Linked DNA regions of Callithrix jacchus. The protein of the gene in region 3 purifies or fractionates together with the protein of the main gene of each other region. This does not show direct contact. Links are inferred from orthologs where the notes say so. Each region holds a gene or a part of one and is shown on either strand. Other genes may lie near its edges.

The links.
Region 1: the proteins of RASSF1 (region 3) and MAP1B purify together in Homo sapiens (affinity purification with mass spectrometry; 3 studies listed by BioGRID and IntAct, counting the BioPlex papers as one, with this or other methods). This does not show direct contact. The link is inferred for Callithrix jacchus from reciprocal best matches to the Homo sapiens genes RASSF1 and MAP1B.
Region 2: the proteins of RASSF1 (region 3) and MAP1S purify together in Homo sapiens (affinity purification with mass spectrometry; 4 studies listed by BioGRID and IntAct, counting the BioPlex papers as one, with this or other methods). This does not show direct contact. The link is inferred for Callithrix jacchus from reciprocal best matches to the Homo sapiens genes RASSF1 and MAP1S.

What each region holds. Positions count from the first base shown.
Region 1 is NC_133503.1:138,952,497-138,956,142, reverse strand, and holds part of MAP1B (microtubule-associated protein 1B), read left to right. Parts: intron 1-861; coding exon 862-1,100; intron 1,101-2,405; coding exon 2,406-2,561; 3' UTR 2,562-3,646. UniProt on the Homo sapiens protein: Facilitates tyrosination of alpha-tubulin in neuronal microtubules. Phosphorylated MAP1B is required for proper microtubule dynamics and plays a role in the cytoskeletal changes that accompany neuronal differentiation and neurite extension.
Region 2 is NC_133523.1:16,444,102-16,447,847, forward strand, and holds the start of MAP1S (microtubule-associated protein 1S), read left to right. Parts: upstream 1-1,392; 5' UTR 1,393-1,797; coding exon 1,798-1,918; intron 1,919-2,033; coding exon 2,034-2,135; intron 2,136-3,746. UniProt on the Homo sapiens protein: Microtubule-associated protein that mediates aggregation of mitochondria resulting in cell death and genomic destruction (MAGD). Plays a role in anchoring the microtubule organizing center to the centrosomes. Binds to DNA. Plays a role in apoptosis.
Region 3 is NC_133516.1:32,913,282-32,917,027, reverse strand, and holds the start of RASSF1 (ras association domain-containing protein 1), read left to right. Parts: upstream 1-1,535; 5' UTR 1,536-1,560; coding exon 1,561-1,810; exon of another isoform or gene 1,811-1,923; intron 1,924-3,746. Other genes in the region: ZMYND10 (zinc finger MYND domain-containing protein 10), read left to right, coding at 215-340, 424-545, 658-783, 872-947. UniProt on the Homo sapiens protein: Potential tumor suppressor. Required for death receptor-dependent apoptosis. Mediates activation of STK3/MST2 and STK4/MST1 during Fas-induced apoptosis by preventing their dephosphorylation.

The DNA.
Region 1 (3,646 bases), on a different chromosome or scaffold from region 3:
TAAGCATCCGAGGTGATTCTAATTATGTGGTCAGGCTGAAGAACCACTGCCTCAAAATGCTCGTTCTATTAATGTTTCAAAAGCGTTAAACTTCCCAACGGGAACAAGTTTTCCCAGGCCTTTGTGATTTGACTGAGGGTTTTGGTTGCAGTCTGATATGTCCTGATTAGTTAGAGAAAGCCTGGTCTTTCTGAACCTTCCTTTGCCCAAGTTTGGCATCCAGCCTTGTCTAAGGAAAGAAATATCACTTTTCAGAATACTGTGCTAAGGAGAGAGAATACAGTGTTTCATCAGTTTTTACGAATGAGATTGAGGTGCTGAGGGCCTTGGAAATTATATGGGGTTAAGATCAAAACTATTTACTAGGTAGAATGTTAGGGCATAATATCCAGCTGTGGACAAAATTGCTATCAAACGAGACCCTAAAGTGGATTACTCAGATCACTTAGCAATGTTTTGCCAAATTCAGAAGTTTTCTTTTGACTGTTAAAATCTACTTCTTAGATCACTTATCAAATAAAAAAGCACATTAGCAACTTCTTTAGGAGGGACATTACATCTAGTGCCTTCTTGGCAAACGCCTTCAGGCTTCCTAACGGTGGTTGTCCACAAGGGAAACCGTCCCATTCTTCATTTTTCCTATTGAGATGGTAAACAACCTTGTTATGTTTTCTCACATTGCTAGTATAAATGCCCTTGACAGATTACCAGGAAGATGGAAATGCTGTCATCTCTTTGCATGTCCCAGAGCACCTGCTTGTGATTTAATAGGGAAGGTATGATAGAAAAGGGAAGGTGTGCTGGATGTATGGTCTCTTCACCTTGCTATGACCTTGCTTTGTCTTTGTGTATTTATCCAAGGACCAGGAACCACCAAGACGACCAAGTCCTCCGCGGTGCCTCCGGGCCTCCCTGTGTATTTGGACCTGTGCTACATTCCTAACCACAGCAATAGTAAGAACGTTGATGTGGAATTTTTCAAGAGAGTGCGGTCGTCCTACTACGTGGTGAGTGGGAATGACCCTGCTGCTGAGGAGCCCAGCCGGGCTGTCCTGGACGCCTTGTTGGAAGGAAAGGCCCAGTGGGGCAGCAACATGCAGGTGAGAGCCCCTCAACAGTGTCTGCACCACAGATCGAGCTGTGTCCAGAGGCAATGGGACAGAATCATGTTTAAAGAGGCACCTCATGTAGATGGTTGTGGATCCACAGGATGTGTCTCCTGTGTCTGCCACACATGAAATATCCTGAGAACAAAGTCAGTTTAACACACAGTAGGTAGTCTGAAATAATATTTTTGGCACCACCACCAACCATAGCTTTGGAGGAAAGCCACCTTAACTAAAGCAGAAATTGTTTATTCGCAAAATGGGCCCAAGATTAATTGTCCCTCCAGTGTGCCGAAAGTATTGTGTGTGTGAATCAAAGCAGTCATATTTCCATATGAGAGCTGCTGAGGAATTGCCTTTCTTCCTTTGTGTTTTATGAGTAGACTGCAGCGAGGAATATAGCCATTTGGAAAACAAGCTGTCCATGTGAAATTCCACAGTAGGAGCATTGCTGAATAGAGTCCCTTACTTACAGGACACTCCCAACTCCCAGACATCGTGCCTGACCACAGACCATTCCTTATTCATTTAGAAACAAGGTCTCCCTATTTTGCCTGGACTGGTCTCGAACTCCTGGGCTTAAATGATTCTTAGAACTAGCCATTATTAATTCAGCTGTGATCTTTGCTTATTAAGTTTTATTTGTGGTTCTGTACAGAATTACCTAGTAAACTGTGCTTGATATTGTACAGAATTACTTGTTATTTAATCACATGAAATCTAATGAGAGGCACCCACCCAGTGGCTTCTTACTGAATACTAGATGGAATTTATACTATTCAGGACATTACCTACCCACCCCATATCTCTATCCCCAACCACATACATAAAGTAAAGGTTCAGATCTGTTCTCAGGACAAAATGTTACACACAATGAGTGGGCTTTTGAGGGCTTTAAAGTGCTTGATAAAACTCTTTGGATGAAATATGCAGTACCTTTTATTCAAAACTTACCAGTTGTGTTAAAGGAAATACAAGAAATTGTACCCTAACAGAAGCAGTTTTCTGAACGGTAAAGAACTGAGAAACTGACAGTGGATCTAGGTGAACTAATTGACAAGTGATTAGTTGCTTTTGGTTCTAGGCTTCAACTTCCCTTAGAAACAATAGCTTTTCTTTGCAGCTTTATCTGGCTCCTGGAAAATATATGTTGAAAAGTCCTTTGCATTTCTTGAGGAAAATAGAAAACTTTTCTCTCATTTCCCTTCTTCTTCCAGTGATCTAATACCTTGCTATTCCATTTTTTTCATACGGTTTCTGTTTCTGCCCTTAAATAGCTATTTTATTCTCTACCCACAGGTGACACTGATACCAACTCATGACTCAGAAGTGATGAGGGAATGGTACCAGGAGACCCATGAGAAACAGCAAGACCTCAACATCATGGTTTTAGCAAGCAGCAGCACAGTGGTTATGCAAGATGAATCCTTCCCTGCATGCAAGATTGAACTGTAAAAACCAAGGCCAGCCACACCACAGGATCTGAACTTTGTTTCCAGAAATTCTTCAATTTGAAATCACCTTTTCTAAAAAGTCAATTCATCTAGTTAAGTCGCTGAACAATTACCTGCCAAATGCTATACTGTGTCATGGTGATGCAAGTCACTAAATTTCTCAGTTTTTGCTGATTGCTAAGGGAAGTAACAGTATTCCCACAATAGGGTTCAAGTTCCTGCGAAATTACCTACCCCAGTTCATCTCTGCTGAACATTTGGAAACCATGCACTAGCCAACCCAACTGACTTCTGCTAGGTAGAGGCATTTGTCTTAGAGAGAGAGAGAGCGCGGGAGAGAGTGAGAGAGAGTGAGAGCACAAAGAGAACGCAGGAGAGAGAGAGAATGAGAAAGAAAAGGAATGCAAGAGAAGGAGATGTAATGACAGAGAGTTCTGGTGAGATACCCAGAGAGAAAAAGAGAGAGCAGGGTGGGGTAAGGAGGAGAAAATAACCAACTATTAGGTCTGCATTTTCTCAGGCAGTAGGCATTCTTCAGTCTACATAGGCAAAGTTTTCTGTTTTTTGTCAGTCTGAGTCATCAAAGAGTCTTAATTTTCTAAAACAAGTTGTCTAGAAGAAAGTAAAAAGAACAAAATTTGTTATGAGGGCATGTGATATTTTCACATCTGAATTAGGCTCCTTCAGTTTGAAGCCTGCACACTGACATAATGTAGTGAGTATAGACCGGCCATGCAAGTGGTTTGGGCCCCATTCAGAACTCTCAGACTCTAAACACACAAGTAGATTTATCTAAGGCATGCTCCCAGCATTTGTCCACCCACGTAGTCCACTCTGAGTCGATTCACCTGCATGCAGCAACACCCAAGTCCACCCCAATTAACTGAAGCAAATACCAAAGCAGTTGGGAGTACATACGGTAGACAATTTGCCTTAGGAAGTGACTTGAATGTACAAAGATACTTGATGCACTTATTTTTTAATGTGAGACAGCAAGTTTATAAAACATCCATATAGGATTATAGATACGTAAAGGAGCACGTGGGTGAGCGTGTGTGGGGGTCTAGAAGCTGATCTGATTGGTCC
Region 2 (3,746 bases), on a different chromosome or scaffold from region 3:
TAAAATGCCTGGCACGCAGGTGGTGCAGAATAAGTGTTGCCCTGTTCCATGCAGGCCCGGGGTTCCCCCTGTTGTATCCCAAACACACATGTACTCTCGTGCCTCGAAAACTTTCCACGTGCTGTAACCTCTGCCTCACGTGCTCTTGCCCCACCACTCATGTAAGGCAAACTCCTACACATCGCTCAAAGCTCTACCTATAAATAGATTTCTCTTCTCTGTTCAAGCCCTGACCTAGGGAGCTGGGAGCATCCAGGGGCGCCAGGTTCTGACTGGGCCTACTGTTAAGTGATGTGAGTTCGTGGAGGGCAGGAATTCTGACCTACATGCAACAGACAGGCGATCAAAGCTTGTTCAATGAAAAAAAAAGAATGAATGGTCCTTGGGAGAAGCAGCTCCCAAACAGACACCCAGGAGTCCGCCAACCCCTTTAGCACCCGCATTCCCTGCTCTCCATGACCTGAAAGGGCCAGTAGGTGGTCGACAAAAAGGGGCGGGGGTTGGGGTGGTTCCGGGCGGGGTCTTCAGTTCTTCCGGTGCAGCCCCTTTAAGAGGCGGGGCCAGCGGGGCGGGCGCTGAGAACGTCGGGGCGGTGCGAAGATGGCGGCTGTGCCTGGGCTCGGGGATGCCGCGGCCCCGAGTTCGCTGCTCCTCGTGGTGGGCAGCGAGTTCGGGTGCCCGGGGCTCCTCACCTACGTCTTAGAGGAGCTCGAACGAGGTCGGGCTGGCCCGGGGGCGCGCGACAGCCCGGGAGGCGGGCACGCTTCGCGCCTGGCCCCGGGGCCGGGTGGTGGGCGGCGGCTGCGGCGGCGGGGCCCAGGCTCTGGGGCGGGGATCGCGGGCCCGGGGCTGGGTCCCCTTCACCGTTAGGCACGTGACGCAGGCAAAGGCGGGGTGCCTGTGGGTACCCGCGGGGGAAGTGGCATCGGGGCCTGGGCTGGGCAGGGCTGCCCCGCCCCAACTCCGGGTGAAAATCGGGGAGGGGTCACGGGTCACGGGCCTAGGCGTGGGGACCCGCGCAGTTGGGCCATTGCTCCGCTTCCCGCCTGGCTGGCCCGCCCAGGGGGCGGGCTTGGGGACGCTTTGGGTCTTAGGTTTTAGCAGCTTAGAGAGCTAACGAAGGGAGAAGCAGATTTGGGGGAGGCTGGCCTGGAGCCCCGGGGCCCGCTTTCTGTTGCAGCACAAGGAGCTGCTAATTGGGGTGTGGGTGGGTGCGGCTTGCCCGGGGGATTTAGCACTTAGGGAGGTGAGTCATAGGTGCACCTGCCCGGTTCACCTGCAGCCACTTGGCACACTGGGACTGGCACAGTGGGACTTGCGGGCATGATGCGCCCGTGGGTGGAGATGGGTGTTCATCCCCCATTCCTTGGAGAATCTGGACCTGCGTGTTTCATTGATTGTAAAATGTGACAGGAACGCGCACCTCGCTTCATGTGCTTGGGGAGTGTTTAGTGAGCACCTGCTATGCGCCAGGCAGTGGGCACAGGGACATGGCTGGGATGATAGACAGATTCAGCCCTGCCAGCACAGGTTTGGTGGGGGGGATGGATCCAAAGCAAATGAGGAGATAGAACAAGCTTCCAGCTCACATGGTGTCAGGAGGGATCAGAAGTCTGCAAGGGGCTGAGGGGACAGCCAGTCTTAGCACCTGAAGGTGATAAGGGGGAAGGGCCCCTGGGCCAGTAGGAACAGGTGGGGGTGGCAGGGGGATGGGCTTCCAGGCAGAAGGAACAGCTGTTGCAAAGGCGGTGAGTGGAAACGGGCCTGGCAGGGCATAGGAGCAGCAAGGAGGTGGAGATGGAGGAGGTGGAGGCTTGGTTGCTGAGTCTTATCTGTAAAATGATGAGGTGTGCTCTGGGTCTCCTGGCTCAGCTGCATCGAGACCTGAAGGTGTTGGGTACTTCTGAGTCTCCAAGCTGTGAGTGAAGGGAGGAGGCTGGGGCGCTCCCTACCCACAGGGTGCTAGTTATTGAAATATTCTGGGGGCTGGGAAGCCTGGCTGAACTCCTGCCTCGATGCCTCCCTCCCACCAGGCATCCGGTCTTGGGATGTGGATCCAGGCATCTGCAACCTTGATGAACAGCTCAAGGTCTTTGTGTCCCGACACTCTGCCACCTTCTCCAGCATCGTGAAAGGTGAGGCTGGGGTGCCCCTGGCTGCTCCCCTATCTCTTATTCCCTGGACAAGTGCCAGCTGTCTGCCAGGCATGGGGGGTGGGGTATAGCTGTAAATAACAACACTAATAATATAACTGAGGCCTTTCAAATGCATGCCCTGACCCAGGGATAATCCCCTCAGTCCTCAGTAACCCACAGTGCAGGAACTGGTGTTTTCATCCCTGACTTACAGATGAGGAAACTGTGGCATGGAAGGGGGAAGAGGTGGGGAGGTCCCTGAGGAGGGGGTTTTTCGATGAGAAACTGCTATGACTGGTGTGTCCAGTGGAAGGGAAGTGCCCCATCCAAGACCCAGCAGTGGACAGAACATGAGAAGAGACCGAGTCCGTGGCTCACGCTTATGATCCCAGCACTTTGGGAGGCCGAGGCTGGCCGATTACTTGAGGTCAGGAGTTCAAGACCAGCCTGGCCAATATGGAGGAGCCTTGTCTCTCCTAGAAATACAAAAATTAACTGCCATGGTAGCAGGTACCTGTAATCCCAGCTATTCAGGAGGCTGAGGTGGGAGGATCACTTGAACCTGGTAGGAGGCAGAGGTTGCAGTGAGCTGAGATCTCAACACTGCACTCCAGCCTGAGTGACAGAGTGGGAGGGAATCTGTCTCAAAAAAGAAAAAAAAAAAACATCTGGAAGGTGGAGGGGGCACTGAGCAGGCCCTGGGAGATGGAGTGTGGGCCCCTTGGAGGCAGGGACTGAATTTGGTTTACAGCCACAGGGCTGGGTATACAGTAGGCGCTCAGTAGGTAGGGAACTGAAAAGGAGTGAGATCAAGGAGGGCCCACCTCAGCACGAGGCTCCCCTCTGGGGTGACCCAGGATGGGGGCACAGGGCTTGGGTGTTGTCTGAACAGCCCTGCGCTCCTGCTGGTCTCAAGTCACCTCTCGGCTGCTGCTGGAGAGGAAGGAAATGTCCGTCGTCTCATTGTCCCAGTGGGTCCTCGGGGCTTCCTGACTCTTCATGGGGCAGAAAGTGGGGCTAGAAATCCTGTCTGCTGTGTGCAACCTTTGTGGCCACTTCCCCTTCCTATGCCTTCCCCACCTGAATGGGGCAATATCTGCGTGCGACAAAAAGCATGCCAAGTCTGGGTGGGGTGGCTCTCGCCTGTAATCTCATCCCTTTGGGAGGTAAAGGTGGGAGGATCGTTTGAGGTCAGGAGTTCAAAACCAGCTGGGGCAACATGGTGTAACCCTGTTTCTATTGAAAATATAAAAATGAGCCGGGCCTGGTGGTGCACATCTGTAGTCCCAGCTACTCAGGAGGCTGAGGAGGGAGGATCTCTTGAACCCAGGAGCTAGAGGCTGCAGTGAGCTAGGACTGCGCCACTGCACTTCAGTCTGGGCAACAGAGCAAAATCCTGTCTCAAAAAAAAAAATAAAGCTAAACATGATAAGAGCTGACTGCACGGGACAGTCTGCTTCTCAAGACTCAGCCATGCTCACAGCCCGGTCCTGGGCCTCAGGGCCTTTGCTTTTGCTGTACCCTGGTCCAGGTTGGCCCTCCCTGGCCCTCCTCTGGCTCTGGCTACTTGCCACCCCTTTCTCACAGTGCTGATGTTTAAAACACATTTGG
Region 3 (3,746 bases):
CCTCCCCATCCTACCCCAACTGCGTCCCTGCTGTTTATCTTTGCCCACCCACCTCAGTCCCAGTACTCTTTTCAGTCCTTGGGCCTCAGGTGACACAGCAGCTAGTGGGACATGGGTCCCTACAGGCATGCTCAGCCCAACCCAGCCCCTTCCTTTTCCTTGGCCCCCTGGCCAGCACCTGCATCACACTGGCCTCCACTGGATACCCTTGCAGCTTCGGGCCTTCCTCACAGACACCCTACTGGACCAGCTGCCCAACCTGGCCCACCTGCAGAGTTTCCTGGCCCACCTGGCCCTGGCTGAAACCCAGCCCCCTAAGAAGGACCTGGTGTTGGAACAGGTAGGCACTGGAAAGTTAGCTGCTCAGGACCACTGTCCTACTTTACCAGCTCCTTCCTGCCACTCTCCACTTCTCTCCCCTAGATCCCAGAAATCTGGGAGCGGCTAGAGCGAGAGAACAGAGGCAAGTGGCAGGCAGTTGCCAAGCACCAGCTCCAGCATGTGTTCAGCCCCTCAGAGCAAGACTTGCGGCTGCAGGCACAAAGGTAAGGCCTGTGGAACTGGCAGGGTGGGGTGGGTGGGATGCAGGAGGCATGGATGTGGGCAGGGGTGCTCCCACCTTCCAGGGCCAGTCAGACCTTCCTGATTCTCCCCAAGGTGGGCTGAGACCTACAGGCTGGATGTGCTAGAGGCAGTAGCTCCAGAGCGGCCCCACTGTGCCTACTGCAGTGCAGAGGCTTCCAAGCGCTGCTCACGATGCCAGAATGAGTGGTATTGCCAAAGGTGAGGATATCCTAGGACCTTGGACCCCTAAGCCCTACTCCCACATCCCCCACATGTGCTGAGATCCTGAGTACCCACCTGCCTACAGGAAGTGCCAAGTCAAGCACTGGGAAAAGCATAAAAAGACTTGTGTCCTGGCAGCCCAGGGTGACAGAGCCAAATGAGGGCTGTCCTTGCTGAGGGCTGACCAACCCATGCCAAGGGAATCCACTCAGAACGCACCCCTGAATCTCAAGATCACGGGCCAGCCTCTGCCAGAGCCCCAGTCTCTGTGGTGGAGAGCAAAGCGGGCGGTAAAGGTGCTGACCCATCCCCCTCCTCCCCTCCCCAAGGGAAGGCTTGAGACTTCCTGCTCCACCCTGTGGGCAGGCCAAGTGCTTTGCCTCAGCAAACCGGGGCGGGAGGGCGAGGGCCGGATGCGGGGACCCTCTTCCTCTAGCATGGTAAAGCTGGCCTCCAGAAACACGGGTCCACGTGGTGTTTTGCGGTCGCCGGCGTCGTGGCCGTCGGGGGTTGGGGGTGAGGAGGGGACGAAGGAGGGAAGGAAGGGCAAGGCCGGGGATCTGCGAGAGCGCCCCCCACCCCGACACACGCCCAACCCCGCCTTCGGGCCCCACAGTCCCCCCCACCCAGGTTTCCATTGCGCGGCTCTCAGCTCCTTCCCGCCTCGTCAGCCTAGATCTCGGGGGCGGTGCTAAAGTCAGACCCGCCCTGCGGCCCCGCCCGGCCCGCGCTTCCTAGCGCCCAAAGCCAGCCAAGCCCCGGTCCGACCGGGCCATGTCGGCAGAACCTGAGCTCATTGAGCTGCGGGAGCTGGCACCCACCGGGCGCGCCGGGCAGGGCCGCACTCGGCTGGAGCGTGCCAACGCGCTGCGCATCGCGCGGAGTACTGCGCGTAACCCCGCACGGCAGCTGGTCCCGGGCCGTGGCCACCGCTTCCAGCCCGCGGGGCCCGCCACGCACACGTGGTGCGACCTCTGCGGCGACTTCATCTGGGGCGTCGTGCGCAAGGGCCTGCAGTGCGCGCGTGAGTAGCGGCCCCGCGCGCCTACGAGAGCGGAAGGGGCAGCCAAGGGGCAGCGCCGTCGCCGCGGGTCAAGACGCGGCAGAGGGTCGGCAGGGACAGCTCCCGCAGACTAGGTCCGTTACTTTTGCCCCATCGCTGAAGAGTGTGCGAAAATGGTTTATCCCTTTTCGAAGTCCTCCCGTATCTGGGGCACAGATGGGCAGAGGTGGCTGCTTGTATGTAAAAATGTGCTGATTTCAAGTTTCTTTAAAGTGCCTTGGCCCTTCTTGAGAAAGGATTTGTGCCTACTGTTCTCTGAGGCCATCTTTCCAGGCTTGCCTCTTCCCGAAGATTCACTCACTGTGACTCCCCTCCAGAACCTTTGGGGTGAAGTTACCCACCTATATGGGAGGGAGCCTGGAAAAAGTTAGAGCCTTGGGAGGGCCCCCTGCAAGCAGGAGTTTTGTTGAGTCTTTATTTAGCAAACACCCATTTCTGACCCAGTGAATCAGATGCTAAAATATGGAATACAGTTACACACCCAGCAGTCCTTCTGCACCCCTGGGAATCACCAGCAAGGCAAAAGTTGCTCTCCCATAGCTAGACACCAGCTGGAATCACCAGGGGCACTTTTACAGCCCTCTGACCTTCTATGCTTAGATCCCACCTCAGACCTGTTGAATCAACTGCTGGGAGTGGACCCTAGGCATCAGCAAATTTTAAAAACTCCCCAAATAATTGTAACAGGAACTTGTGGGTGGTTGGTGTCCCAGGTCTGTGTGTTCGTGGAGACCCTCTCATCTGGTACAAGAGAATATCACAAATTCAGCTGGGGGAAGCACAAAGTTGTGAAAGAATACAAAGAATGAACAAGGAGACGGCCACGGTGGCTCACGTCTGTAATCCTAGCACTTTGGGAGGCCGAGGTGGGTGGATCACCTGAGGTCAGGAGTTCAAGATTAGCCTGGCCAACATGGCGAAACCCCATCTCTACTAAAAATACAAAAAATTATCTGGGTGTGGTGGTGGGTGCCTGTAATCCCAGCGACTCAGAAGGCTGAGGCAGGAGAATCGTTTGAAGCCAGGTGGCGGAGGCTGCAGTGAGTTGAGATCGTACCACTACACTCCAGCCTGGCAACAGAGACTCTGTCTCAAAAAAAAAAAAAAAAAGAACAAGGCTGGGATATTGTAGCGTTCTCAAAGAAAAATAAAGTGGCCATGGAGATAAAAAAAAAAAGCAGGACGATTTGGGCGTGTATCAGAAGTAGAGACAAGGGAGGAATCAAAGATAAGTAGGTTTTGTCTCCAGTAACTGGGAGCAATGTGGCCATTTTTGCTGCAGTGAGGAAGCTAGGCAAGGGTAGCAGTGAGGTGGAAGAAAGGGGAATTAAATTTTGACCATGTTCACTTGAAACATCCTTTAGACATCCTAGTGAAGGTACTGGCACAGAGGATCTAATCTAGGTCAGTGTTTCAACTGTGGATCTGAGGCAGGTGGGTGTAGAGAGACCAGGCCAGCTATCAGGACTGAGCCCAGACCACCGTGAGATCTGGAAGTCGAGTCAGAATCTGCAAAGGAGCTGAGCAGGAGCTGCAGGTTGATAGGAGGAAACCCGCGAGAATGTGTCCCCGGGGAGTCAAAGGGAGCAGGCTTCAAATGATGCTGAGGGGGTGAGAATGGAGACTGGGATACTGGATTCCATTTGGCAGTATGCAGATCGCTGAGGACCCTGTCCTGGGCAGTTTCCTGGAGGGAGAGGCAAGCCTGGCTGGAGTGGGTGGAGGAGAGAGTGAAGGCTGATTAGAATCTATAGAGACCAGTGTTTTGGTCTGAGGGGAGTAGAGACGGATGACAACCAGAGGGAGGACATAGGTTAAAGACGTTTGGTTTTGGCCGGGCATAGTGGCTCACGCCTGTAATCCAAGCACTTTAGAGGCCAAGGTGGGCGGAAAAAGT